4 linked regions of the Arabidopsis thaliana genome follow. The protein of the gene in region 1 interacts with the protein of each later gene in a pairwise test. Each region holds a gene or a part of one and is shown in the gene's direction. Other genes may lie near its edges.

What was found.
Region 2: the proteins of AT1G19330 (region 1) and HDA9 interact in a two-hybrid assay, tested with the Arabidopsis thaliana proteins (one study listed by BioGRID).
Region 3: the proteins of AT1G19330 (region 1) and HDA18 interact in a two-hybrid assay, tested with the Arabidopsis thaliana proteins (one study listed by BioGRID).
Region 4: the proteins of AT1G19330 (region 1) and SNL2 interact in a two-hybrid assay, tested with the Arabidopsis thaliana proteins (one study listed by BioGRID).

Annotation. Positions count from the first base shown.
Region 1 is NC_003070.9:6,680,047-6,685,399, reverse strand, and holds AT1G19330 (histone deacetylase complex subunit), read left to right. Parts: upstream 1-1,866; 5' UTR 1,867-2,109; coding exon 2,110-2,322; intron 2,323-3,590; coding exon 3,591-3,717; intron 3,718-3,884; coding exon 3,885-4,039; intron 4,040-4,128; coding exon 4,129-4,194; intron 4,195-4,291; coding exon 4,292-4,360; intron 4,361-4,459; coding exon 4,460-4,576; 3' UTR 4,577-4,837; downstream 4,838-5,353. Other genes in the region: AT1G19340 (Methyltransferase MT-A70 family protein), read right to left, coding at 1-28, 107-602; AT1G19320 (Pathogenesis-related thaumatin superfamily protein), read right to left, coding at 5,222-5,353.
Region 2 is NC_003074.8:16,226,011-16,231,613, reverse strand, and holds HDA9 (histone deacetylase 9), read left to right. Parts: upstream 1-1,604; 5' UTR 1,605-1,861; coding exon 1,862-1,898; intron 1,899-2,541; coding exon 2,542-2,654; intron 2,655-2,775; coding exon 2,776-2,893; intron 2,894-2,966; coding exon 2,967-3,041; intron 3,042-3,115; coding exon 3,116-3,335; intron 3,336-3,421; coding exon 3,422-3,485; intron 3,486-3,574; coding exon 3,575-3,667; intron 3,668-3,750; coding exon 3,751-3,859; intron 3,860-3,966; coding exon 3,967-4,016; intron 4,017-4,110; coding exon 4,111-4,201; intron 4,202-4,278; coding exon 4,279-4,349; intron 4,350-4,443; coding exon 4,444-4,542; intron 4,543-4,621; coding exon 4,622-4,688; intron 4,689-4,771; coding exon 4,772-4,845; 3' UTR 4,846-5,095; downstream 5,096-5,603. Other genes in the region: AT3G44690 (uncharacterized protein), read left to right, coding at 1-929. UniProt on the Arabidopsis thaliana protein: Responsible for the deacetylation of lysine residues on the N-terminal part of the core histones (H2A, H2B, H3 and H4).
Region 3 is NC_003076.8:24,570,576-24,576,173, reverse strand, and holds HDA18 (histone deacetylase of the RPD3/HDA1 superfamily 18), read left to right. Parts: upstream 1-1,786; 5' UTR 1,787-1,801; coding exon 1,802-2,103; intron 2,104-2,451; coding exon 2,452-2,653; intron 2,654-2,758; coding exon 2,759-2,905; intron 2,906-3,028; coding exon 3,029-3,141; intron 3,142-3,239; coding exon 3,240-3,451; intron 3,452-3,529; coding exon 3,530-3,594; intron 3,595-3,725; coding exon 3,726-3,896; intron 3,897-4,040; coding exon 4,041-4,877; 3' UTR 4,878-5,079; downstream 5,080-5,598. Other genes in the region: AT5G61090 (Polynucleotidyl transferase, ribonuclease H-like superfamily protein), read left to right, coding at 1-216, 319-443, 527-1,272; HDA05 (histone deacetylase 5), read left to right, coding at 5,257-5,459. UniProt on the Arabidopsis thaliana protein: Responsible for the deacetylation of lysine residues on the N-terminal part of the core histones (H2A, H2B, H3 and H4).
Region 4 is NC_003076.8:4,860,012-4,867,684, reverse strand, and holds the start of SNL2 (SIN3-like 2), read left to right. Parts: upstream 1-1,653; 5' UTR 1,654-1,968; intron 1,969-2,108; exon of another isoform or gene 2,109-2,113; 5' UTR 2,114-2,115; coding exon 2,116-2,192; intron 2,193-2,300; coding exon 2,301-2,477; intron 2,478-2,558; coding exon 2,559-2,739; intron 2,740-2,834; coding exon 2,835-2,933; intron 2,934-3,022; coding exon 3,023-3,190; intron 3,191-3,276; coding exon 3,277-3,559; intron 3,560-3,728; coding exon 3,729-3,865; intron 3,866-3,932; coding exon 3,933-4,008; intron 4,009-4,083; coding exon 4,084-4,119; intron 4,120-4,221; coding exon 4,222-4,415; intron 4,416-4,489; coding exon 4,490-4,644; intron 4,645-4,735; coding exon 4,736-4,863; intron 4,864-4,994; coding exon 4,995-5,249; intron 5,250-5,396; coding exon 5,397-6,053; intron 6,054-6,148; coding exon 6,149-6,216; intron 6,217-6,319; coding exon 6,320-6,928; intron 6,929-6,999; coding exon 7,000-7,100; intron 7,101-7,216; coding exon 7,217-7,355; and 3 more. Other genes in the region: AT5G15025 (paired amphipathic helix Sin3-like protein), read left to right, coding at 127-206, 365-523, 602-731. UniProt on the Arabidopsis thaliana protein: Acts as a transcriptional repressor. Plays roles in regulating gene expression and genome stability.

The DNA of each region.
Region 1 (5,353 bases):
AACACTCTCTGTTCATTACAACTCTCACCTATCAAGTCCACAAAACACCATCAAATTCATGGGTTTCAAATACGATCTAGCAAGTGACATAGAGAAACCAAAAAACCTTCATTGTCGCAATGTAGATTAAAACTCAGTGTTATCTCATAGAAAGGAGCTTGCCACACTCCTCCAAGCTCAATAAAAGAGACTTCATCGTCACAACACTTGTTCAACAAACTAGAATCATCATCATCATTATCATCACTTAGACCTTTCGTTAAACTCAACAACTCAATTTCCTTTAGAAAAGATTCATGGGCTTTCGATAAGAACAGCCTCGCTTCCTGATGACGAAGATTCGAAGCTTGCTCTCCTACACTAGGAAGGTGAAAGCTAGAGTTTTTCTGCTTCCGTTTTCGCTTTTTCGGATTAGACTCGCTAGAGTGTTGATTGAGTTGCTTCGAATTGAAGAAACGAGAGTAGTAAGCAGAAGGTGAAACCTTAAATCGGGTATATGAACGGTTGGTGATACGAACTGTGTCTAAGAAGAACCAATTGAATTCGTCGGATTCGTAGATACCAGAATCAAGGAATTGAGCTAGCTTATCAGTTTTCGCCATTTAACGGCTCCAACACTCTCTAGTCTCTTTGTTCAAACAAAACCCTCAAAGACGACGATAGAGACAGACGTGTAGGATTATTCTCATTAACCCCTCGAATTTTCATAATTGACCACAATTAGTCACCTAATTTTGAAATGTAACAAGTAACCCCTAATTTAGTGCAAATCCTCTGAAAATTTCCCGGTAATTAATGGATTTTGTTCCAGCCTCTAGATTTCGTAGGTTTATGTTTAAAAACAATAAAGAACAAAAGAATGAAAATTTTGATTTTTATGGGAGGGGAATGGTAGTAAGGGTAAGCATTAAAAGTTACGAATAATTGAAGCAGGCGTTTGGTGAGGGGTCGCTTTGACAGTTTCCCCAAATATGGGGACGGTTTTATTTTTGGGTGGGCTTTGTTAACTGTGACAATGACAATGACTCGATAAAAGTTTTGGACAAATAATTGATCCAAACATGTAACTTTCATATAGTAAGAAAATCATGTATGATTGTATGTAACACAAAAAAAGAAAGATAAAATATTCATAGATCATATCGATCATCTACCTTTATAAAACCTTTATAAAACCTTCTTATAATCGGTCGAAAAAAGGTTTTTGTATTTGCGTCTCTTGAGCTCTTTTGATGATAATATCGATGTGTGTTTAATAGTGTTATCATTAAAGAGACACAACATTAAATCCCTTAGATTTTCTGTATCTAATATACCCAATTATCCCATCGACCAATTTGATTGCTTTTTAGCCATTATATGAGTTTAAAGTTTATGTTCAATGTTTATCTTACTGTATTTGATCCATTTATTTCACTTACTAAGCAGTACTTGTTTCGTTTATTTTGCTGTTTTGAGAACCTGGTTTTCATAAAGTAAAACATTGTTCTCAATAATAATAAAAATCTAGTAATGGAGAGAGCAATAATTATGAAAGAAAGAAAATTATAAGATAAGGACAAAGAAGATCCAAAAAAATTCAAACTATGGAAAAAAGTTACGTGACTAAGGGTATAACCGTCATTTAAATAAAAACGGGTCCCATCTATCTCTGTCTTTATTAAACACCAGTCAACCATTCAGGTCAATCGCGTGTTCTGTAATTACCAAAAGTACCCCTCCGGTTAAATCCAAACAAAAAAACCGGTTCTGTTTTTGCATAACGCATATAGTTTCAGTACAATGCTGACATGGCTTCTTCTAATTGGTCCCCGTGGTGAAAAACCTGTCTCTATCATCCTCTCTTTCCCTCCTCCTCTACCTTCTCTTTACTCTGCTTCTTCTTCTCTCATCTCTCTTCTTCTCTCTCTGCTTCTTCTTGTGGGACAAACCCTAATTATTTTACTTCGATATCTCTCCACTTTTCCCGCTCAATCATCTGATCTTTCCCTCTCTCAGCAATGCATGATCTTCGATTTTCTATCAGTGTTCAAAGCTGAAAAAAATCGAACTGGGTCTGTTGATTTCTTCAGGTCTAAAATCAGATTAGATTAGAGAAGAAGAAGAAGAATGCTGGAAGCTGTAGATAGCTCAGGAGTGGTGAATGGAGGATTCCCGCAGATTCAGAGCTTTTACGGCGATTGCAGTAGTGAAGAAGAGTTATCGGTATTGCCACGTCATACAAAAGTGGTGGTCACCGGAAACAACCGGACGAAATCGGTGCTTGTTGGTCTTCAAGGTGTTGTCAAAAAAGCTGTCGGTCTCGGTGGTTGGCATTGGCTGGTAAAGTTATTTGATTTCTTTCCTTTTTTGGTAAAAATGTTATCTTTGTTGTTTCCTGTTCCGTTTTCCATTTATAGTTAAATTTCGATCTAATCTAGTGTTTTGTTCTCTGTTTTCTGGATTTACCAAGTTTGCAATTGATGAACATAATTTGGGTTTTGGGATGATTTTGTATTTCAAATTTGGGTTTTTTTCCCTTGAATTTCTCAACATGATCAACTTTAAATTAGATATAATCATTCATGAGCTTCGATTTACTAGTTATAGATTCACTAATCAAGTCAATAATTATGTTTCCTCGCATCTAATTTTAAACCAAGAATTGTTAGTTTGATCGAAAATCAAATCTACTTTTGTATTTACCAAATGTTAAATCTGTAAAATTTTCGAAATCTGGCGATTGAACTTGTTGCATGCATGATAGCATTCAAGTCACCATTATTGCTGGATTTTACACTGTTTAACCTTGTATTTATGGTTCTTAGGTAGTTATTTTATTCATGAAACCCTTGAGTGATTTTTATTTTTCTTTAAAAATTAGTTTGCATCAAATAAAGATTCTGAAACATTTTGGTATCTTTGATTATTTTGGTGTTTCATGCTGAGTTTCAGGCTCAATTTAAGGAATCATCTATAGGGGATAAGTGATTTTTGAGTTTGCAAACATTAATTAGGCAAACCAAAAAAGAGGCAACTTTATTTTGGCGCCTGGTCAATAAAACATCATAACAAATATGCACTTGTTATCTAATTCTCCATCATATTTCTTGACATTTTTGTTCTCCACCTTAAGGATCCAAGCTGGCTTTTTGAAATTTGTTAGTCTTTTGATTAATGTTAATCATTTGTTTTAGAGGTTTTTCTTCTTTTTTGTTCTTTCTTAATTAGTTGAGTCATTTTCGTCCCCAAGCAGTGTCACTTCTGTCGATTACTATTCTTTATAAAATCTTTATGCTTTGGTTGGCTAGTTTATATTATAAACTGCTCTGCAAGATCTTTTTGATAGTGTCTCTGTGTATGTGGACCTAAAGGAGTAACTTCACCATATTCTAGCTTTAAACTTTAGAGAATAATCCATATAATTTACGAATTTCTTCAGTATCACGATTATGTTTTACTATTAGTGATATCACATTCCACCAGTTCTTGTCTCCCAGAATTCCTATGGAAGTAACAGTAGGAGTTGAAGTATTAAAATCAATGTCAGTACTTGTTTATGGAGTTAAAAGTATTTAATCAGAATTATTGTTGTGCTTTTTGGTTTGTAGGTTTTGACAAATGGAATAGAAGTAAAGTTGCAGAGGAATGCGCTTAGTGTCCTTGAACCTCCTACTGGAAACGAAGAAGACGATGATCTTGATTTCGAAAACACACAGAGGAATGGCTCTGATATGAGTAAGTTTTGTTCCTTGTTATTTTTGTAACGATTCTGCCAATTTGTCAAAAACTTGATATAGAGATCTCTAAACTTGATTTAGTCTCCTGTGAGCTACTAAGTGATATATTGTTCTTTGATGGGAACCCTTTTAACTGATTTTTTTCAGACTTGTTTCTATGATAAGTTGTTTCTTTTCCAGCATCTGAGGACACACTGAAGCCTCATAAGTCGAAGCTAAGAGGGCAGAGATCATCTCGGTCATCTCACAAGACGATGAGCAGGTCTCTATCATCTGACTCGCAATCAAAAAGTTCGGGTTTTACTCCTCCTGAAAACATGGTATGCATTCAAATTTTTTGACATCTATTCCATTTGAAGATAATGCAACAAATCGTAAGTTTACTGATGCTATATCATATGCTTTCAAGCAGAAGGTTGATCTTAGCAAATTGGAAATGCCTGCTTTACTGAATTATTGGCGACATTTTAACCTTGTAAGTTGAATTCCAGAAGAAAAGGAAGAGAAGAAACTTACTTTCGTTTTCTCAATCTTGTTTTCTATGTGCTTGCTTCTGAAGAAACTCTTTGTAGGTGGATGCAATTCCAAATCCATCAAAGGAGCAACTAATTGACATTGTTCAAAGGCACTTCATGTCTCAGGTACGTCAACATCTCTGAGCCTTCACTGTGTTATGGATTTGTCTTAATTTTGTCCTGATAATCAATAAAATGGTGTAAATAACTGTGAAATGAATACAGCAAATGGATGAGCTTCAGGTTATTGTGGGGTTTGTCCAAGCTGCAAAGAGAATGAAGAAGGCTTGCAAGTTTCAATCCAAAGAATCCAGAAACACTGATCTTAACTGCATCAGCTAAAGAAAAGCCCTGACTCTTAACAAATCCTGTATGTACGGTACATCAACTTGTTTAACCATTTGTGGCTTGCTAAGTTTAGTTCTTCTAGTGATGTTTGGCTAAAGGGTAGATGTTGTTTCTTCTTTGCTTCTGTTGTTTAGCCAATGTAAGTACCATCAAAAAAACCAAATAACTCTCTAAAGCTCCCTATTGGAAACTATCTTGTCTGATACGATCTGGAGTGACCGGTATGTTGTTAGAATGTAAATATGTTTGGTATCACTTCTCTCACTTTTTTCTTTCATTTCCTTTAACCTCAAGTCAAATACAAATTGTCCTACCCAAAAAAAAAAAAGAAACTCCTACCAAAAAAACCATTTTACTCAAATAAACTTTGATATTTTTATGTAATAATCTTTTTTCTTAAACAATCAAATATATAAAGTTTCATCTTCTTTTTGAAACATAATCTTTGATTATCTCCTCCTTGTTGATAATAATGGCTATGCATGCCGTATCTCATCTTTTGTTTTAGAAACGTCACCTTTTTGTATTTGTGAAGGAGATTAAAGAGACAAATAAAACATAAAAATATGTTAAAAATGATCAATCTTTTTATTCATTGATAAATAATAATAATTAATGAATAATAAAGGCGATTTTTGCCTAAGAACAGAAACTGATCTCATAATTAGCATTAGTACAAGTAAAAGTACTGGAAGCATCATCGTATGCATAGCTATACGCACTCGGACAAGCTTGTTTAAATATCTTCGAGTAATTCGTGGGCGGACAAGT
Region 2 (5,603 bases), on another chromosome or scaffold:
CGTCAGATATTATAGTAGACCATGGAGATGCCAAGGCGCTAGAGCTTAGGAGAGTAGCCTTCATTGATAGAAATGAAGCGTATTTGGATAATGAAAGCAAGGATGTTTATCAGCATTACAATAAACAACAACTGAAGTACTACGACTCTGGCATTGATGAGAGGATGTATCCTGCTGTCACCAAAGCAGAGATTGTGGACCGAGGAGGTGCTAGAGCTCTAGAGCGTAAAGGAATGTCCTCGAATGACGGAAGGGAAGCCTATTTGCCCTATGAAAGCCAGCAACTCCTAAGAGATCATGAAATTGATTCGTATGGGGTGATGCATCCTGATGTCAGTAGATCATCAGCTGGCAAGCAAGATGAGGAAGCTCTTCGAGGCAGGAGATATCTTTTTGATGACCGAGATCAAGTCTACTTGGATGATGAGCGTTTGCAACGACGTAATGGTGGTGATGTTAAAGTTTATGCCAATATGAGATATCAAGATGGTAGACAAGAGGTTTATCATTCGAATGATTCAATTTTGCGTACAAGAGATGATTATGGTCTTAGAGACAACGCAAGTGAGGTTATGCATGAGAATATGCCTTATGATTACAACTACAGGGATGCTAAGCAATCAAGAATGTCTTATGAGAAGGCAGATAGTAAAAGGTTCCGTGAACATGAAGTAGCATATGATTACAGAGACAAGCTAGGGAACTATGCAGTGGATGGAGGAATAAGCAGAGAACAATTCCGATACTCAGCTGATGAAAGGAATTCTGGTAATGTTGATCACACATCAACTCGACGCCGTCGATTATCTGCAAAGGAGCGGTTAGGTGGGCGTGTTGAAGAAGATTCACGTGTTCATGTGAAACATAGACTGCATCAGGTTAGAAACCCAAACCTAAAAGGTAAGTCCCATAAGAGGTACCTCTCCTGAGGTCATCATTTCTCTCAACATTGTTGATTCCTCCAAACAAGATTGAGAGAGAAAAGCTCCTAGGTTTTCAAAGGATGGGTGTGAAAACGAAGGATCCTAAAGTTGTAATCTCGGCTCTTTTTTGGTCTGAAAAAGGTTAGAAACAGATTCAAGGATTGAAGTTTTTTGGCAATGGAGGATATTATCTTGGTTAGTAGATATGCTTTCTTTTGGCGTTGAACTTGACTTTAAAATGTTGAGATTTTTGTCTGTCTTTTAGATTGTTTGGTCGGTGGTTTGTATCGACCTATCAATCAAGTAGACAGTGGTTACGAGACGTTGGTCTTTTTTGGTCTCTGGTAGTGACATTGACATCGGAGATCAACAAGTAAATAACTCAACAAGTTTATATAATCTAACAACTTCTTACTATTATAATCTCGAAATTGGTTTTCTTTCTCATTTTGATTGTGATCATTCCTTGGTCGAATTTGATTCAGTTTACATGTTTTGAAATTGAAGATGTATACTAAACCAGACAAGAGAAAGAAGAAGATATAACTAAATCGATTGATTTATATACACAGTATCAAATTCAATTTCGATTCGGTTCAAATGATGGAAAGCTACCGGTCTGGTATTATAAAACCATGAGTCAAAACCGCTTTTTATCAAATACACTTTAAATGACGTCATCTGTCATGTCATCAGAACACTAAAACGACATCGTTTCACTTTTGACTCTCCCCTTGTTCTTCTCTTCTCTCTTCTTCTTTTCGCTTCGTTGCTGCTCTCTTCTCGGCTCCGCCGGAGAATCGTGAAATCTCTGCGACTTCATCAATGAAGAAATCGTCTCATCTCTCTACTGAATCTAAGCAGACCTGAAATATCTCTGTATAATCTTTCTTTAAGATTGATTTCGTACGATCTTCGTGTCTTTTCTTCTTTAAGAGATGCGTTCCAAGGACAAAATCTCTTACTTTTATGATGGTATATTCATTTCTTTCCCTTTTCTTCTTTATTTATGGTAAAGAAACTCCAAAATCCTTGAGATTGATGTAACTCTTGAGCAAGTTTTATCCACTTGAACCGCACTAGTTTTTGTCTTTATTGCTCAATCGATGCATCGAAAGGTGAAATCTTTCATATCTATAGTCTAGAATAAGTAAAGGGTTACGATTAGTTTGGAAATACTCCAGAATTGAGTAGGGTTTTTGATGAAAAGAACAAGGGTTTTAGGTGAAGTTTCTGATTTTTTCGATTCTTTGGCCTGAGTTTAAGCTTAAGATAGAAGCCTTCTTGTGGTGAAGACGACTCTAGTACCTGTGAAGTTGACTTCTTTGATTGGTTTGGTCAAGTCTTTGTTATTTCTTTGCTAAAATATGAAACCCTAGAACTTTTGTTAAATTTGGCATTGCATATAATGTTTGAAATTGTGTTCTTTCGAGATTCCTCTCTGAGAAACTTTTATAGACTTGATAGTTATATAACTTTCATTTTCGTACTTCAGATTTTCTGCATGATTCAAACTCTGATGCGAGTTTCAGATTATATTCTTGTTGATGATTGGAGCCTTTGAGGCAGTTTATATGAGATTGTGATGTTATGCTGAATGTTTTTTTTTGGGTTGCAGGGGATGTGGGGAGTGTCTATTTTGGTCCGAATCACCCGATGAAACCTCACAGGCTTTGTATGACCCATCATCTTATCCTTGCATATGGCCTGCATAGCAAGATGGAAGTTTATGTTAGTGTCTCTTGCTCATCATATATGTTTCTTGTTTTTGTTCTTGATCCTTTTATTCTTTTTGTTTATGATATCACGGTACATCTCGATTGAAATCTGTATATGTTCTCTATTGTTTCAGCGTCCACACAAAGCATATCCTATCGAGATGGCTCAGTTCCATTCTCCTGACTATGTAGAGTTCCTGCAACGAATTAATCCAGAAAACCAGAACTTGTTCCCCAATGAAATGGCTAGATGTAAGTTTTGTGTCTTCATTAATTTGTTTTTGTAATCTACATGTTAAGCTGAAATTAAGTTACTGTGTTGCAGATAATCTGGGAGAGGATTGTCCTGTCTTTGAAGATTTGTTTGAATTTTGTCAACTTTACGCCGGCGGAACCATAGGTAAATATACACAGTTGGTATTCATGTTTGCTTGTCACTTTAGAGAAACGACTGACCGAGAATTTTGTCTATAGATGCTGCACGCAGGTTAAACAACAAACTCTGTGACATTGCTATAAATTGGGCGGGCGGGTTGCACCATGCCAAAAAATGTGATGCATCTGGGTTTTGCTACATCAACGATCTCGTGCTAGGAATTCTTGAGTTGTTAAAACACCATCCCCGTGTTCTATACATAGATATAGATGTTCATCATGGTGATGGGGTTGAAGAAGCGTTTTACTTCACTGACAGGTACAGTTACAAATCCATAACACTACTTCTCGAAAGCTGTTACTATAGAAACTGATTGCCAATATCTTTAAATTTTGTGGTGGTAGAGTAATGACTGTTAGCTTTCATAAGTTTGGGGATAAGTTCTTTCCAGGGACAGGCGATGTTAAGGTAATATTCAGAATTCATTTTCCTGATTTGTGAGGACGGTTTCAATGTGTTTGGTTGAATTGTCATTGTGATGTTTTTTCTTTAAAAAGGAAATAGGAGAAAGAGAAGGGAAATTTTACGCCATTAATGTGCCGCTGAAGGATGGTATCGATGACAGTAGTTTCAACCGTCTTTTCAGGACTGTAAGTTCTTTAACTAAAAACAATGAAAAATTCTCGATGCGTTCACCGTTTATTTGTGTTTCATCATTTCCTTTGATCTCTAGATAATATCCAAGGTTGTTGAGATATATCAACCGGGTGCAATTGTTCTTCAATGCGGGGCAGATTCACTAGCCAGGGATCGACTAGGATGCTTTAATCTCTCTATTGATGGTGCTTTTTCTTCTTGTAATCAAAATCTCTTTCTCTCTTTCAATCTCCCGTTTGCTAATTTCTTTGCGAATCGGGTTTTGAAATGGCTTTCTCTATGCATTTCACAGGACATGCTGAATGTGTTAAATTCGTGAAGAAGTTCAATCTTCCCTTACTGGTATCTAATCTCTCAACTTATATATATGTATGACGCGTTTCTGTAATCTTAAGTTCATTGATGACGAAGTCAGTTCTTTCTGATTGTTTATTAGGTTACAGGAGGTGGAGGATACACAAAGGAGAATGTAGCTCGTTGTTGGACCGTTGAGACTGGCATTCTTTTGGACACAGAACTTCCTAATGGTTAGGTTTTCAATATTTGTTAGAGAAAGTTTAATGTTTGCGGTCTTTGGGGGCTCAGGGGTTAGTTGTTTCTGCAGAGATTCCTGAAAACGACTACATAAAGTATTTTGCGCCGGATTTTTCTTTGAAGATACCGGGTGGTCACATTGTAAGGAGCTCTTATGTAACTTATAGTTCCTCATTGCTTTAACAAAATCTAAAGAGAGATTGAGAATCATTTTGTGTGTTTGAAATGAAAACAGGAGAATCTTAATACCAAATCGTACATCAGTTCCATCAAAGTGCAGATTTTGGAGAATTTGCGATACATTCAACACGCTCCAAGCGTACAAATGCAGGAGGTAAACTCAGATCATCATAGGACAAATTGATGCTTTTATCAATCTAACACTGATCAGTTTTTTTACTTGAATCTCTTAGGTTCCACCGGATTTCTACATACCGGATTTTGATGAAGACGAACAAAACCCGGATGTACGTGCGGATCGTAAGTATCGATAACCACCTTCAAGGCTCTACTTTAGTCCCTTTGTTTTCTTAGTGACTAATGTTCTATATGGAATGTTTCAGAGCGTTCACGGGATAAGCAGATCCAGAGGGATGATGAATATTTCGATGGAGACAACGATAACGATGCGTCATAAAACATCGATTCTTAGAAATTGTTGGTTAATTTTTTTGTTTAGTTATGAGATTTGTAATGATATCAACACTTTAACGGCTACTGGGGCACCAAAACCACTTCTGATTGATTCCATCTTCTTCATGTTTTCGTCTTGGTGTATATGAATGAAGCTTTTTGGTTCACTTTCTCATCATTGTGACTTATATAGTGATCAAATTCGTTATATATTGTACAGTACAATTTGCACTTGATCAAATTCAATTTTATTTTTAGGCAGCCTTGTTAGTAAAAAACACTAAAGATTAATAGAAAAAATAGATTTAAAAACGCTAGTGAGAAATACACAGAGAATTATTAAGACTAAACAGAAATACATTTGAAAAGCAAAATTCAGTGATAATTAACAAAATCTGAGAAAGAACAGAAAAAAAAGATCAAGGATTTGATTTTTCTTGATCAAAATTTGCATCAGAGTCATGGAAGTTTTTGATTGCCAACACTGCTCAATTGAGCTTCTTTTATCAATGGTGATTTAACTCATCATTTGCAATCAGATGGATGTATATGTATATATATAAATCGAGCAACTTAAGACTCGATGTTAAATAAAAAAACATTAGAAAGAATATACAACGAAAACACAAATGAATAAAGAAACAGAGAAAATAAAAACTCATTAGAAAGAATGTAAAACGAAAACATAAATGAATAAAGAAACAGAGAAAATGATAAGCAATGGGGAGACTGAAAATAATTGTTTTCCTGGTGCAGAGGTAT
Region 3 (5,598 bases), on another chromosome or scaffold:
GGATTCTGCCTCGCCGCCTGAGTTTGACTGCGAGTTTTGGTCTAAACCGGCATCCAATATCAGGAGGAAGGCCCTCAGACGTTCAAAGGCAATGCCTGCGTTACTCAAGGTCGAACTGCTTCCTACATGCCACATTCTAAATGATGTGTCTGGCAGAAGCCCAACTCTATTGAATGTCGAAATGTACCTTTTCCCAGATGAGAAGAAAACAGAAAGGTACTCAAAACCCCTTTCTATGAAGGACAAGCTTCTTATTCTTGTTGTATCTCTGTTATCAGAAAACTTATCATCTCAGGGCATGTACACTCATTCTTTTAGGTTTACAGGGGAACATGCTACTCTGTTCAAGGCAATGGTAACTCGCAAAGTCATGGCCAAAGCTAATATAAACGGCACTGAATTGTTAATATTCTCCTCAAAACTATTGGACAAGACCTCCCAATGTATGTATGCATTCTGAATTTCTGCAGAGCTTTTAGTTTGTGCATAGATTTTCGATGGATAACATCCGTTTTGTGTTCAGCAGTTCTCATCAATACGCAGAAGAAAACAGAAAACTTCCTTTGGGGTTTTTTTCTCCAGACCAAGAACTCACTAGGACTTGTTCCAGAAACTGCTTCTCAAATTGATAATGATTTTGATGATGGGGGTGTTGTTGACATGGACTTAGACAATGAATGCCTGACCCCGCGTGTGGCTCTGAAGCTTATTACAGAATCACAAAAAACTCCCTCAAGATCACCGGAGAAGGTGAAGGGAGAAGCAAGTGTACCTCCTGGTTTCGAGAAGATATGGACACCACCCTTGGTGAAACTTAATATACAAGGAACATCAAACCCTCTGTCTGATCTAACCAGATCGGCTGGAATAGTGCGTGACCAATCAGGGAAGTGGGTGTTTGGGTACATCAGGTGCCATAAGAGCATCCCTGAAGTCGTAGCTGGGCTTTTGGCTATATACCAAGGCCTCAAATATCTCTGGGACAGCGGTTTCCGAAGAATCCACTTGGAGACAACAAGCTTTGAGATCATCAATGCTCTAACAACAAAATCGTCCCTGTTTTGTAAAAGTAAAACGCTTCTAGGAGCGTGCAAGGACATGATATTGAAGGAGTGGGAGTGTGACATTTACCATATCTCCAAAGAACAGAACTCATGTGCAGAATGGTTAGCAAAGAGATCAGAAGAACAGCCTCAAGAATTAGTTTTCTTTGAATACCCTCCTCGAGGCCTTATGGATTTTCTGGAGAAAGACCGCCTTGCAGCTATGTAGAGCTTCTTCAGGTTTGAGGTACAGTCCCAGTGAGCAGCTTAGAGGTACATATCTCGATTAAGTAGTCTGACCTTTTGAAAATACTAGTAGAAGAAGAGATGTTTGGAGTGTTAATGTGACATCCTTGCGTAGTCGTAAGTACAGTGGAGTCTCATTGTAGCCACAGTTCAAGAACACAGACGTTTTTGTGAAGTGAAGAATCGAAATAACTGTAGATTTTCCCTCCAGATTCAGTGTTGCTCCTCTTCATCTTTCGTTTAGGCACAGTCTTAACAATTCACAAAAAAAAAAAAAAAAAAAATTACTATTAAACGATAAATTCGCCGTTTGCAGAAAATTCGGTTCACCAATTTTAAATTGGTTTATGAGGTTCAACCGGTCATTGGTTCTAAATGAGTTTGAGGTGTCCGCCTTTGATTGGTTGAGATGCTAGGTTTTTCATTTTCCCTCCAAAGAAGCTCTTTAATGGTCCAACAAATATATATTTAATCGTAAATAAGATAAAGAAAAATATATTTTGAAAAGAAAAATGCTTTTGAAGTTTGAAGCTTCTTCAGAGTTGAGACTAGTTGACCCTTCAGTTTCTCTCACTGTTCTTCGAAAGATAAGACTGTCACATCTCCCGGATATGACAATGACCAGCGAATCTTCCGGCAAGAAATGCGGAGAGGGTGACGGCAAAGTCGCCGGTAAAAGCCAGCGAAAGGTGGGTCTTGTTTATGACGAGACCATGTGCAAACACGACACACCTAACGGTAAGGTTGACGTAGAGTGTCCCGATCGTATCAGAGTTATCTGGGAGAAGCTTCAGCTCGCCGGAGTCACTCAAAGGTTCATACTTTCCTCTTCTCGTGCGCCTTTGTTGTCTTTTTTGGGCGATAAAGCCCTAGAAAAGGCTGAAATTTTAGGCTAATTGGGTGTTTTGATGATTATCTCCTCTGAGAAAACAGGTCTCGTTTTGTTTTTCCTTATTTGACTTGACGTTTGACTTTCTCAATCTGAATTGTGTAATTCATAGATTGGAAAGATTCTGCTGATTTTATCCTATATAGGTGTTTCCTAGCTTGGTTAACTGTTTCTTTATCCTATATAGGTGTTTCCTAGCTTGGTTAACTGTTTCGTTATCCTATATAGGTGTTTCATAAATTGTTAACAATGTTGGTCTTTCCTTTTTTGCAGATGTGTGGTTCTTGGTGGTAGTAAAGCTGAAGATAAGCATCTCAAATTGGTTCACACAAAGAAACATGTTAATTTAGTGAAGAGTATTAGCACAAAAAAGAAAGATTCTCGGAGAAACAAGATTGCTTCACAGTTGGATTCGATTTATCTGAATGGAGGTTCATCTGAAGCTGCATATCTTGCAGCTGGATCTGTTGTAAAGGTAATATTAGATTCATACAAATTGTCTCTCTCACACAGGAGGATAGCAAACTGTTAGAATGATTTGTTTGACGATTAGTAACAAAACAAATTAGCAACTTGGTAGGTGGCAGAGAAAGTTGCAGAAGGAGAGTTAGATTGTGGCTTTGCTATTGTCAGGCCCCCAGGACACCATGCCGAGTCAGATGAAGCCATGGGTTTTTGTTTATTCAACAATGTTGCCGTTGCTGCTAGTTTTTTACTAAACGAAAGAGTAATGACTTCTTTTGACTTTTGTGATGCTTTTAGTATCTCTTACTTGCTCTCAAATTTCTTTGGTCACATTCCTTTGGTGCGTACGTTTGTTCTCATGTTATGCGGCATTAATCGAATGCAGCCTGATCTAGATGTCAAGAAAATTCTGATTGTCGATTGGGATATCCATCACGGAAATGGTACACAGAAGATGTTCTGGAAAGATTCTCGCGTACTAATATTCTCTGTTCATAGGTATGTATTTGCAACCTCTGTCTATTCTTCTTTCCAAACTACTTTTTCACATGATCTTTGTTGAGGTTTAAAGTGACTGGAAATGCATTTGTGACTAGGCATGATCACGGAAGTTTCTATCCATTTGGCGATGATGGAGACTTTAACATGGTTGGCGAAGGTCCAGGTGAAGGGTTTAACATTAACGTTCCATGGGAGCAAGGAGGATGTGGAGATGCAGACTATCTTGCCGTATGGAACCACATCTTGATCCCTGTGACCAAGGAATTCAAACCAGATATTATTTTGCTTTCAGCTGGATTTGATGCAGGTTTGTATGGTCTAACCATTTGTTTCAAGGCTTTGTGACGGTAAGCTGTGTGTAATCTTTTCAACTTCTTCTTAACAGCTATTGGTGATCCGCTTGGGGGTTGTTGTGTTACCCCATATGGATATTCAGTTATGTTGAAGAAGGTTGGTGTTGAAGTGAACTGCCTCTTTTCTCCATTGTTTCTATTATGCGTACCATGGCTTCTCTACCATTGAAAATAACAAAGCTACATAATTTTACTTGGATATGACATCATTTAATTGGTTTCTCTCAGCTGATGGAGTTTGCACATGGAAAGATAGTGCTGGCATTAGAGGGAGGATACAATCTTGAGTCATTGGGAAAGTCTTCACTCGCATGTGTCCAAGTTTTGCTTGAAGACAAACAAATTCATGGTTCATCTGAAACATACCCATTAGAATCTACACGGCGTGTCATACAAGCGGTATGGCTCTATATAACCCTAACAGTCTGAAATTTTGTATGAATTGGCTACGATTTCTCTTTTCAGCTCAGTTCTTGTGTCATAAATATTGTATATCGCCTATGTTACTAATTGACAAAGCTCATCTGTTTCTTGTGGGTTTAGGTACGCGAGAGACTATGCACATATTGGCCTTCACTTGACGCGTCAATGGCGTCTAATGAGAATTTAAAGAACCCAAGTGCAGAAAGAAACTCCGCTGACGCCCTCCTTCGTGAAGTGGAAGAGTTAAAGTCTCTAATGGCTGCCCGAGATGGAGAACTGGAGGCAAGGAGAAAAGAGTTAAAGGCCAAAAATAAGGAGCTAGAAGCGAACGAGAAGGAGCTAGAAGCGGGACTAATGTTGATTCGCGCTCGGGAGGATGTAATCTGTGGTCTTCATGCAAAAATAGAGAGTTTGCAGCAGGAGCGAGATGAGGCGGTAGCGAAAGCTGAACGCATAGATAAGGAACTCCAAGAGGATAGGGCAAGAAGCCAGGAGTTCAAAGAAGACACAGAGTTTTGCTTGAGTACGTTAAGGAGGGAGAAGGAGCTTGCCATCATGGCCAAAAATAAGGACCTAGAAGCGAAAGAGAAGGAGCTAGAAGCGCGGCTAATGTTGGTTCACGCTCGGGAGGATAAAATTCATGCCAAAATAGAGAGGTTGCAGCAGGAGCGAGATGAGGCCGTAGCAAAAGCTGAACGCATAGATAAGGAACTCCAAGAGGATAGGTCAAGAAGCCGAGTTGGGAATGGATCTTTTGCCTTTTCTCAGGAGTTCTATGAAGACATGGACTTAGACGAGCTCGAACCTCTGTCTCCGGAGTTCAATGAAGACATGGACTCGGAAGAGCTTGAACCGTTTCAGGTCATCAAGAAAAACATGGAGCGTTCCCACAAGAAGTTCATAAAAGATATGGAGTGTATCAAGTTTATCGCCAGTGAGAGAGCCAGGGTACTTTAGGTTGGGAGCTTGAGGCCGTAGCAGAAGACTACCACAAGTTTCGCGAGATGGTTGATAAGCTCGGGAAGAGCAACATATACCCTTCTTAGAAAGTACAATGGTGTTTCATTGTAACCACAGAACCTTTTTGTGATTGTAAACCAACTGTGTCGTGTCAGACTTTGATTGGTTGCGATACTTGGTTTCCCAATTTCCCTCCAAAGAATCTCCAAATTGGTCAAACTCTCAAACCTAAAAAAAAAAAAGGAGAGAATGAAAAAAAGAAAGAATTGAAAAGTAAAAAATACTTGGAAGCTTTAGAAGCTGAGAGCAAAGACTTGACCTTTTTCACTTCCTTCTCACTGATCGTCGAACAATAAGGCCGTCGCATCTCCCAGTTATGGCTATGGCCGGAGAATCTTCCGGCAAAAAAATTGGAGACTGTGACGGTAAAGTCGCGGGGAACAGACAGCGAAAGGTGGGTCTTATTTACGACGAGACGATGTGCAAACACGACACACCTGACGGCGAGGATCACCCTGAGTGTCCCGACCGCATCAGAGTTATCTGGGAGAAGCTTCAGCTCGCCGGAGTTTCTCAAAGGTTCATACTTTCTCTCTTCTTCGTGCGGCTTTGTTGTTTGTTTGATAATATAAGCCCTAGAAAATGCTCAAATTTAGTCAAATTGGGTACTTTCTGATCCTGTCAGCTGAGAAACTGGTCTCAATTTGTTCTTCCTTGT
Region 4 (7,673 bases), on another chromosome or scaffold:
CACTTGAAAGATCTGAGTGATTTGTTTCAGATCTTCTCCGAAAGTGAGTCTCTCTAAACTTCATCGTGATTCTTTGTTTCTCTTCTGCTTGCAATAACTTTTTCCCCCATAATTCTTCAATCAGGGATGAAGCGGATTGGAGATAAAGAAATCGACGGTTCTGGGTCTCAAAATCAACATCCAGTGGGCTCCCCTCGAAACGAATTGTAAGTTCCATTTTCAATCTTAGCGATGAGCACACAGAGGGTTTCGCATTTATGCTATTTCAAATCTTTTAATCTAGTTGCGTTTTAGCAAAAGACTTTGGTTAGTATCGTAATCTTGAAGTATTGTGTTGATGATCGTGGGGTTGTTTTTGACGCAGACAAGGGCAATCTCCAAAACCTGGAAACGGTAACACCAAAGATGCTTTGACAACCGATGATGCTTTGGCCTACTTAAAGGAAATAAAGGACGTGTTTCATGATCAAAAGTACAAATACCATCTGTTTCTCGAGATTATGAGCGACTTCAAGGCACAAAGGTATAACATCTTTTTGTTTTGTTTCTTTAAGTATCATATTTAGCCTCTGAACCCATTCTTCATCTTGCATTTTATCAGGACCGATACTTCTGTCGTGATTGCACGAGTCAAAGACCTGTTAAAGGGACATAACCATTTAATTCTCGTATTTAACAAATTCTTGCCACATGGGTTTGAAATTACTCTTGACGATGAGGATGAGGATTAAGGATCAAGAAGCTAGCATTTGAATGAGACGGATATATCAAATTAGCTCTCTGTTCGACCTTTTTTTTAATATCTTCTTAGCTCTACTACAAGTTACAATTGGTTATTTTTAGTATTGGAGAAACAGGTTGTGTTGTTACTTCTGCTCAGAATTATGAATGTTTTTTCTCATAGATCAAAAGATCTCTGAAGTCTGACATGTGAATTTTATTCAAAAGATCATCACAGCAGAAGTTTCAAAATAACTATTCGATTGGGCTCTCATAAAGTACAGTTTGTTTATCTTTCATACTCTGATTTCAGAATAGCGTATATTGCCAATAAGGCGAAGCAATCACAGAGCCAAAAACCAAAGAGTTCTCATTGTTTTTCTAATACAAAACCAAGATTTGAAGATTCAAATAATAAAACTTATTGAGATCAGAGTTTGGTTAATAAATTCTCAGTCACGGTTAATCAGAAACACGGACCAATTTGTTACTCATCACATCTCTGTTCAGAAAAAGGGACGACTATGTGCAAGATCTAAAAGGAGAAGAGAGGAAATATAAAAACAAATAAGATCATCAGAGACTTAAATACTAAGAATCATAAAGATTTCTCCATCATATTGTTGCAGTATTTGCTCATCAACTGATCCAAACAAAAAATCCGAATTTCAAAAACACTAAAAACTGCAGAAGTATATAAGAAGATGTAGCAAGCTTAGATCGATATCTCTGAGTAATGTTATCTGTTTCCTCTTTATATATCTTCCTCGGCGAATATGATGAAGCAAAACCCTAATTACCTTACGAATTTATTTAATGGGCCTAATAATCAGGGCCTTTTATTAAGCCCATTATAAATTTTAACGGCCCAAAAATAGAAAAAAGGAAATAATAATAATTTGGTCTCGCTGAAACAATTCTAAAGAAGGTGCCGGGAGAGACCTCATAGGCAAATTCCGTCCTCGTTTCTTCTTCTTCTTCATTATTCGAAAATTACTTTCTCTCTCTTGCTTCTCAGTCGTAGCAACTCCAATTCAAAACATTTCTCTCTCATTTGTTTTTTAATCTTCTTCTGAATTCCACTCTGTTCTCATCGGAATTGTTCTTGGGGTTTGGCACAATTCGGGAAATTTGAAGTTTTCGCCGGAATTTGATCGGAAGTGTTTCTTATCGATTCCGCTCTTACTCGAGAGATCTGATTAATCTCTTCCCGGAGTTATATCTCTGGGAAATCTGGAGAACGAGAAAGTAGGTTTTATCAACTTCATCTGAATTTTCCTTTTTTAGATGCTCAGTAATGGAATTTCTAAATTGGGATTTTGGGTTTACCTTCAAATTTCTTCATTTCTCTTCTCTAATCGATGATCTTTCTTGTTTGTTTTACTCAGAGCAGCAATGAAGCGAATTAGGGATGATATTTACGCAACCGGGTCTCAATTTAAACGTCCTTTGGGCTCTTCTCGTGGCGAATCGTGAGTTTCCCTTTTCGTCAGACTTCGAAAATTTAAAATTGCTGGCGATGAGACATTATAGCTTGTTTGCATGAAAGTTACTAAGTGATTAGAGTTTGTTTGGTGCAGATATGAGCAATCTCCAATCACTGGAGGAGGGAGCATTGGTGAAGGGGGAATCAACACTCAGAAATTGACTACCGATGATGCTTTGACCTACTTAAAGGAAGTAAAGGAGATGTTTCAAGATCAGCGAGACAAATATGATATGTTCCTTGAGGTTATGAAAGACTTTAAGGCACAAAAGTAAGATCTTTAATTTCTTTCCTATCAGATCGATTGAATTTTTGAAGCCTCTGGGAACAATTCTTCATCTTGCATTTACAGGACTGATACATCTGGTGTGATTTCACGAGTGAAGGAGCTGTTTAAGGGGCATAACAATTTGATTTTCGGGTTTAACACCTTTTTGCCTAAGGGGTTTGAAATAACGCTTGATGATGTAGAAGCTCCTTCAAAGAAAACTGTTGAATTTGAAGAAGCCATAAGCTTTGTTAATAAAATTAAGGTCAAGAAGTTCTCTTCTCGTATGTATGTCCTTATCTTTGAAGTGTCCTCTACACCTAGTATCTCATTGTATCAGTTTCTTTTGCATCACTGCAGACACGGTTCCAGCACAATGAACTTGTCTATAAGTCGTTTCTGGAAATCTTAAATATGTATCGGAAGGATAATAAGGACATCACTGAGGTTTACAATGAGGTAATGTCACATTGAAGTGATTATATCTCTCGTATACTTTCACGTCGATAATTCTCGATATTTTATACCTCTAATATCTGTTTATTTAGGTGTCTACTCTTTTTGAGGACCACTCGGATTTGCTTGAAGAGTTCACTAGGTTTTTACCAGACTCGTTGGCGCCTCATACAGAAGCCCAGTTACTTCGTAGTCAAGCCCAACGGTATGATGACCGGGGATCAGGCCCTCCTCTTGTGCGTCGAATGTTTATGGAGAAGGTATGGTATCGGTTACGTTTCTTCCTGGTTCTACTATATTGTTTTCAGGACTCTCTTTTCTGTGCTGATACATTTTTCATCATCAGGATCGCCGACGAGAAAGAACTGTTGCTTCTCGGGGTGATCGTGATCACAGTGTTGACCGTTCTGACCTTAATGATGATAAATCAATGGTTAAGATGCACAGAGATCAGAGGAAACGTGTTGATAAGGATAATAGAGAAAGGAGAAGCCGTGATTTGGAAGATGGAGAAGCAGAGCAAGATAACTTGCAACATTTTTCAGAGAAAAGGAAGTCCTCGAGAAGAATGGAGGGGTTTGAAGCTTATTCTGGTCCTGCTTCACATTCTGAGAAAAACAATCTAAAAAGTAAGCGACTTTTATTTATATGGAGAACCAACAACTTTTCTGTTTTTAAGGCTCCACAATTTCAGTTTTCTAATTTTCTAGTCAACAGGTATGTTCAAGTGCAACCAGTCTTTTCTGTTTTCTGATACTTACAATATCATATTTTTTGTATGTCCTTTTATTGTGTTAGGCATGTACAACCAAGCATTTTTGTTTTGTGAGAAAGTCAAGGAGAGATTATGCAGCCAAGATGATTATCAAGCATTCTTGAAGTGTCTCAATATGTTTAGCAATGGAATTATCCAAAGGAAAGATCTGCAGAATTTGGTAGGTCTGCATGTGTTGATACTTATAGGGGTAAAATTTTGTCCTTACGTTACTTTCTTTCATCCAGGTTTCCGATGTGCTTGGAAAATTCCCTGATCTCATGGATGAGTTCAATCAGTTCTTTGAGCGTTGTGAGAGTATTGGTATATAAGATTGCATACTGTCGTTTTACTTAATAAGTTATCTAGCTGTTTCTGATCATCATCCTTTTTGTGCAGATGGTTTCCAGCACCTTGCTGGTGTTATGAGCAAAAGTAGGCAGCAGTCTCCTAGCTTCTTGTCTATGAGTATACTTTTCTCTTTTTTTTCGTACGTTATAGGAATAGAAATAACACTGCCTGGTACACTTGCTGCAGAATCACTTGGTAGTGAAGAAAATTTATCTAGATCAGTGAAGGGGGAGGAAAAAGATAGAGAACACAAACGTGACGTTGAGGCTGCTAAGGAAAAAGAGCGATCCAAGGACAAGTACATGGGGAAATCTATTCAAGAGCTTGATCTATCTGATTGTGAGCGTTGCACTCCTAGCTACCGGCTTCTCCCTCCAGATGTAATAAGATTTTCAGAGTTCTATATTGCATACAGTGACATTTTAATTGTACTTATATTAGATCTTATTTGCAGTATCCAATCCCGTCTGTGCGCCACAGACAGAAATCAGGAGCTGCTGTGTTAAATGATCACTGGGTTTCTGTCACTTCAGGAAGTGAAGACTACTCTTTTAAGCACATGCGCAGGAACCAATATGAAGAAAGCTTGTTTAGATGTGAAGATGATAGGTTCGTTTACAAAAAGTATTACACATTTGATAGCTTTTGTAGTCTTTAAGTAATTTGTATGTTAAGATTGTTTACTTGCTTCTTCTTACAGATTTGAGTTGGACATGCTGTTGGAATCTGTGGGATCTGCTGCCAAAAGTGCAGAAGAATTGTTGAATATTATCATTGATAAGAAAATAAGTTTTGAGGGCTCCTTCCGGATTGAAGACCATTTCACAGGTATGTGGGCATTTATTTTCCAGGGACCTATATTAGTGATTGTAGTTCTCTCCGTCCCACCTCGCTTACCATATCTTTAAGCCATCATCTTTTAAGCTAACACTTTCCATTTTCTTATTGACTTAATACAGCACTAAATCTAAGGTGTATAGAGAGACTTTATGGAGACCATGGTCTTGACGTGACAGACTTAATACGTAAGAATCCAGCTGCTGCACTTCCTGTAATTCTAACTCGATTGAAGCAGAAACAAGATGAATGGACAAAATGCCGTGAAGGTTTTAATGTGGTCTGGGCGGATGTGTATGCGAAAAACCATTACAAATCACTTGATCACCGCAGCTTCTATTTTAAGCAGCAAGATTCTAAGAATTTGAGTGCAAAAGGTAAGTAAACTCTTGGAATGTGCTCAGTCCATCAGAGGACTTGTCCTCACCTATAATTGCTTACAACCATCTGTCATGGATCTATTCTTGCATTTACTTTCTTGTTCTCATAATTCTGTTTTTTTTTAATCCTTGGTTAAATACCAGCGCTGGTGTCTGAAGTCAAGGACTTGAAAGAGAAGTCTCAGAAAGAAGACGATGTTGTTCTGTCTATTTCTGCTGGTTACAGGCAACCGATAATTCCTCACCTCGAGTATGACTATCTCGACAGAGCTATTCATGAAGACCTGTTCAAACTAGTCCAATTTTCTTGTGAGGAGATATGTTCTACAAAAGAGCAGACTGGTAAAGTTCTGAAGCTCTGGGCTAATTTTTTGGAGCTGATGCTTGATGTTGCACCCAGGGCCAAGGGGTCAGATTCTGTTGAAGATGTTGTAGAAACCCAGCATCAGCGTGCATTTACCAGTGGGGAGGCTAATGAGAGTTCTGATGCGATAAGTTTGGTTTCTAGGCAACTAAAATTTGCTACCAATGGAGATGTGCATGCTTCATCTGGGGTCTCCAAGCATGGTGAGACTGGTTTGTTGAATAGGGATTCTTCAGGGAAAGAAAATTTGAAGGATGGTGATCTTGCTAATAAAGATGTTGCCACCTGTGCTGAAAAACCCCAAAAAGATCAAGAAATTGGAAATGGAGCTGCTAAAAGATCTGGAGATGTTGATGAAAGAGTGGCCACTTCAAGTTCGTCTTTCCCAAGTGGGGTCGAAAACAATAATGGTAAAGTAGGAAGCAGAGATTCGTCAGGTATTTTCAGGATTGAACTTTAATTTTTTCCTTTTCTTCAGTTTGTGTTTGCTATACCTACCTTAACATGTCGGTGCTTTACTTTTATTTTCAAGGTTCACGGGGCATATTATCCAAACCAAGTGAAGCTATAGATAAAGTTGATAGCATTCAACATACGCAGGTACTGTATTCAGTTTCACATTTTAATTATATGTTCTTATTTGTCTGTTCTGCTTTTTATGGACTCTTCTGACCATTCTCACTGTTCCTGACCTTTTCTCTAGGGAGTTGATATAGGCCGAATTATAGTCTTAGGAAATGGTCTGCAGTCAGATACTTCTAAAGCCAACAGTAATTATGATGAATCGGGTGGTCCATCCAAAATTGAGAAGGAGGAAGGTGAATTATCACCTGTTGGTGATTCCGAAGACAACTTTGTTGTTTACGAAGATCGTGAGTTGAAGGCTACTGCGAAAACAGAACATTCAGTTGAAGCTGAAGGAGAAAATGATGAGGACGCTGACGATGAGGATGGTGATGATGCTTCCGAAGCTGGTGAGGATGCTTCGGGAACTGAATCTATTGGTGACGAATGTTCACAGGACGATAATGGCGTTGAGGAAGAGGGTGAGCATGATGAGATTGATGGTAAAGCTGAAAGTGAAGGAGAGGCAGAGGGAATGGAGTCACATCTTATAGAAGACAAAGGGTTGTTTCCGTCATCAGAACGTGTTCTATTATCAGTTAAGCCTCTGTCAAAACATATAGCTGCAGCGGCTTTGGTTGATGAGAAAAAGAAGGATTCCAGAGTATTCTATGGGAATGACGACTTTTATGTCCTTTTCAGGCTTCATCGAGTGAGTGCAATTGATTCTTATGATTTGCTTTCTCACGTTAAATCTGAAAAAGTACTTTTTACCTTGAAAATATTTAGTAATTCTTTTTAATTGGCTTTTATTTCCAGATCCTGTACGAGAGAATTCTGTCTGCGAAAACATATTGCTCCGGCAGTGAAATGAAACTGAGAAACACTAAAGATACTTGTTCACCAGATCCTTATGCAAGGTACATTCCTTAACCAATGTAGATATACAATTGGTCCATTGCTTTTATGTAGACTATGCAGGTTCTTTATTCACTTCAGTAAAATTTATAAACCCTCGTATTTGTATGTTCTGCAGGTTTATGAATGCTCTGTTTAGTCTGCTTAATGGCTCAGCTGAAAATTCCAAGTTTGAGGATGAATGCCGAGCTATTATTGGAAACCAGTCATATGTTTTATTCACTTTGGAAAAACTGATATACAAATTGGTTAAACAGGTAATATTCACTCTCTTTATTGGTTTTAGGTTGATCATGTTTCCTTTTCAAACATTATAATCCTTCTCAAATCTGACTTTGTTTCATCTGTTGCAGCTTCAAGCTGTTGTAGCTGACGACATGGACAATAAGCTTCTTCAGTTGTATGAGTATGAGAATTCCCGGAGACCTGGGAGGGTATTTGACTCGGTATATTATGAAAACGCTAGGATCCTCCTTCATGAAGAAAATATTTATCGGTTAGAATGTGTAAGAACCCGAAACCAATTCTCACCTTTCTCCTATCTCTTCATTGAGGATTAGTGATGATTCATTGAC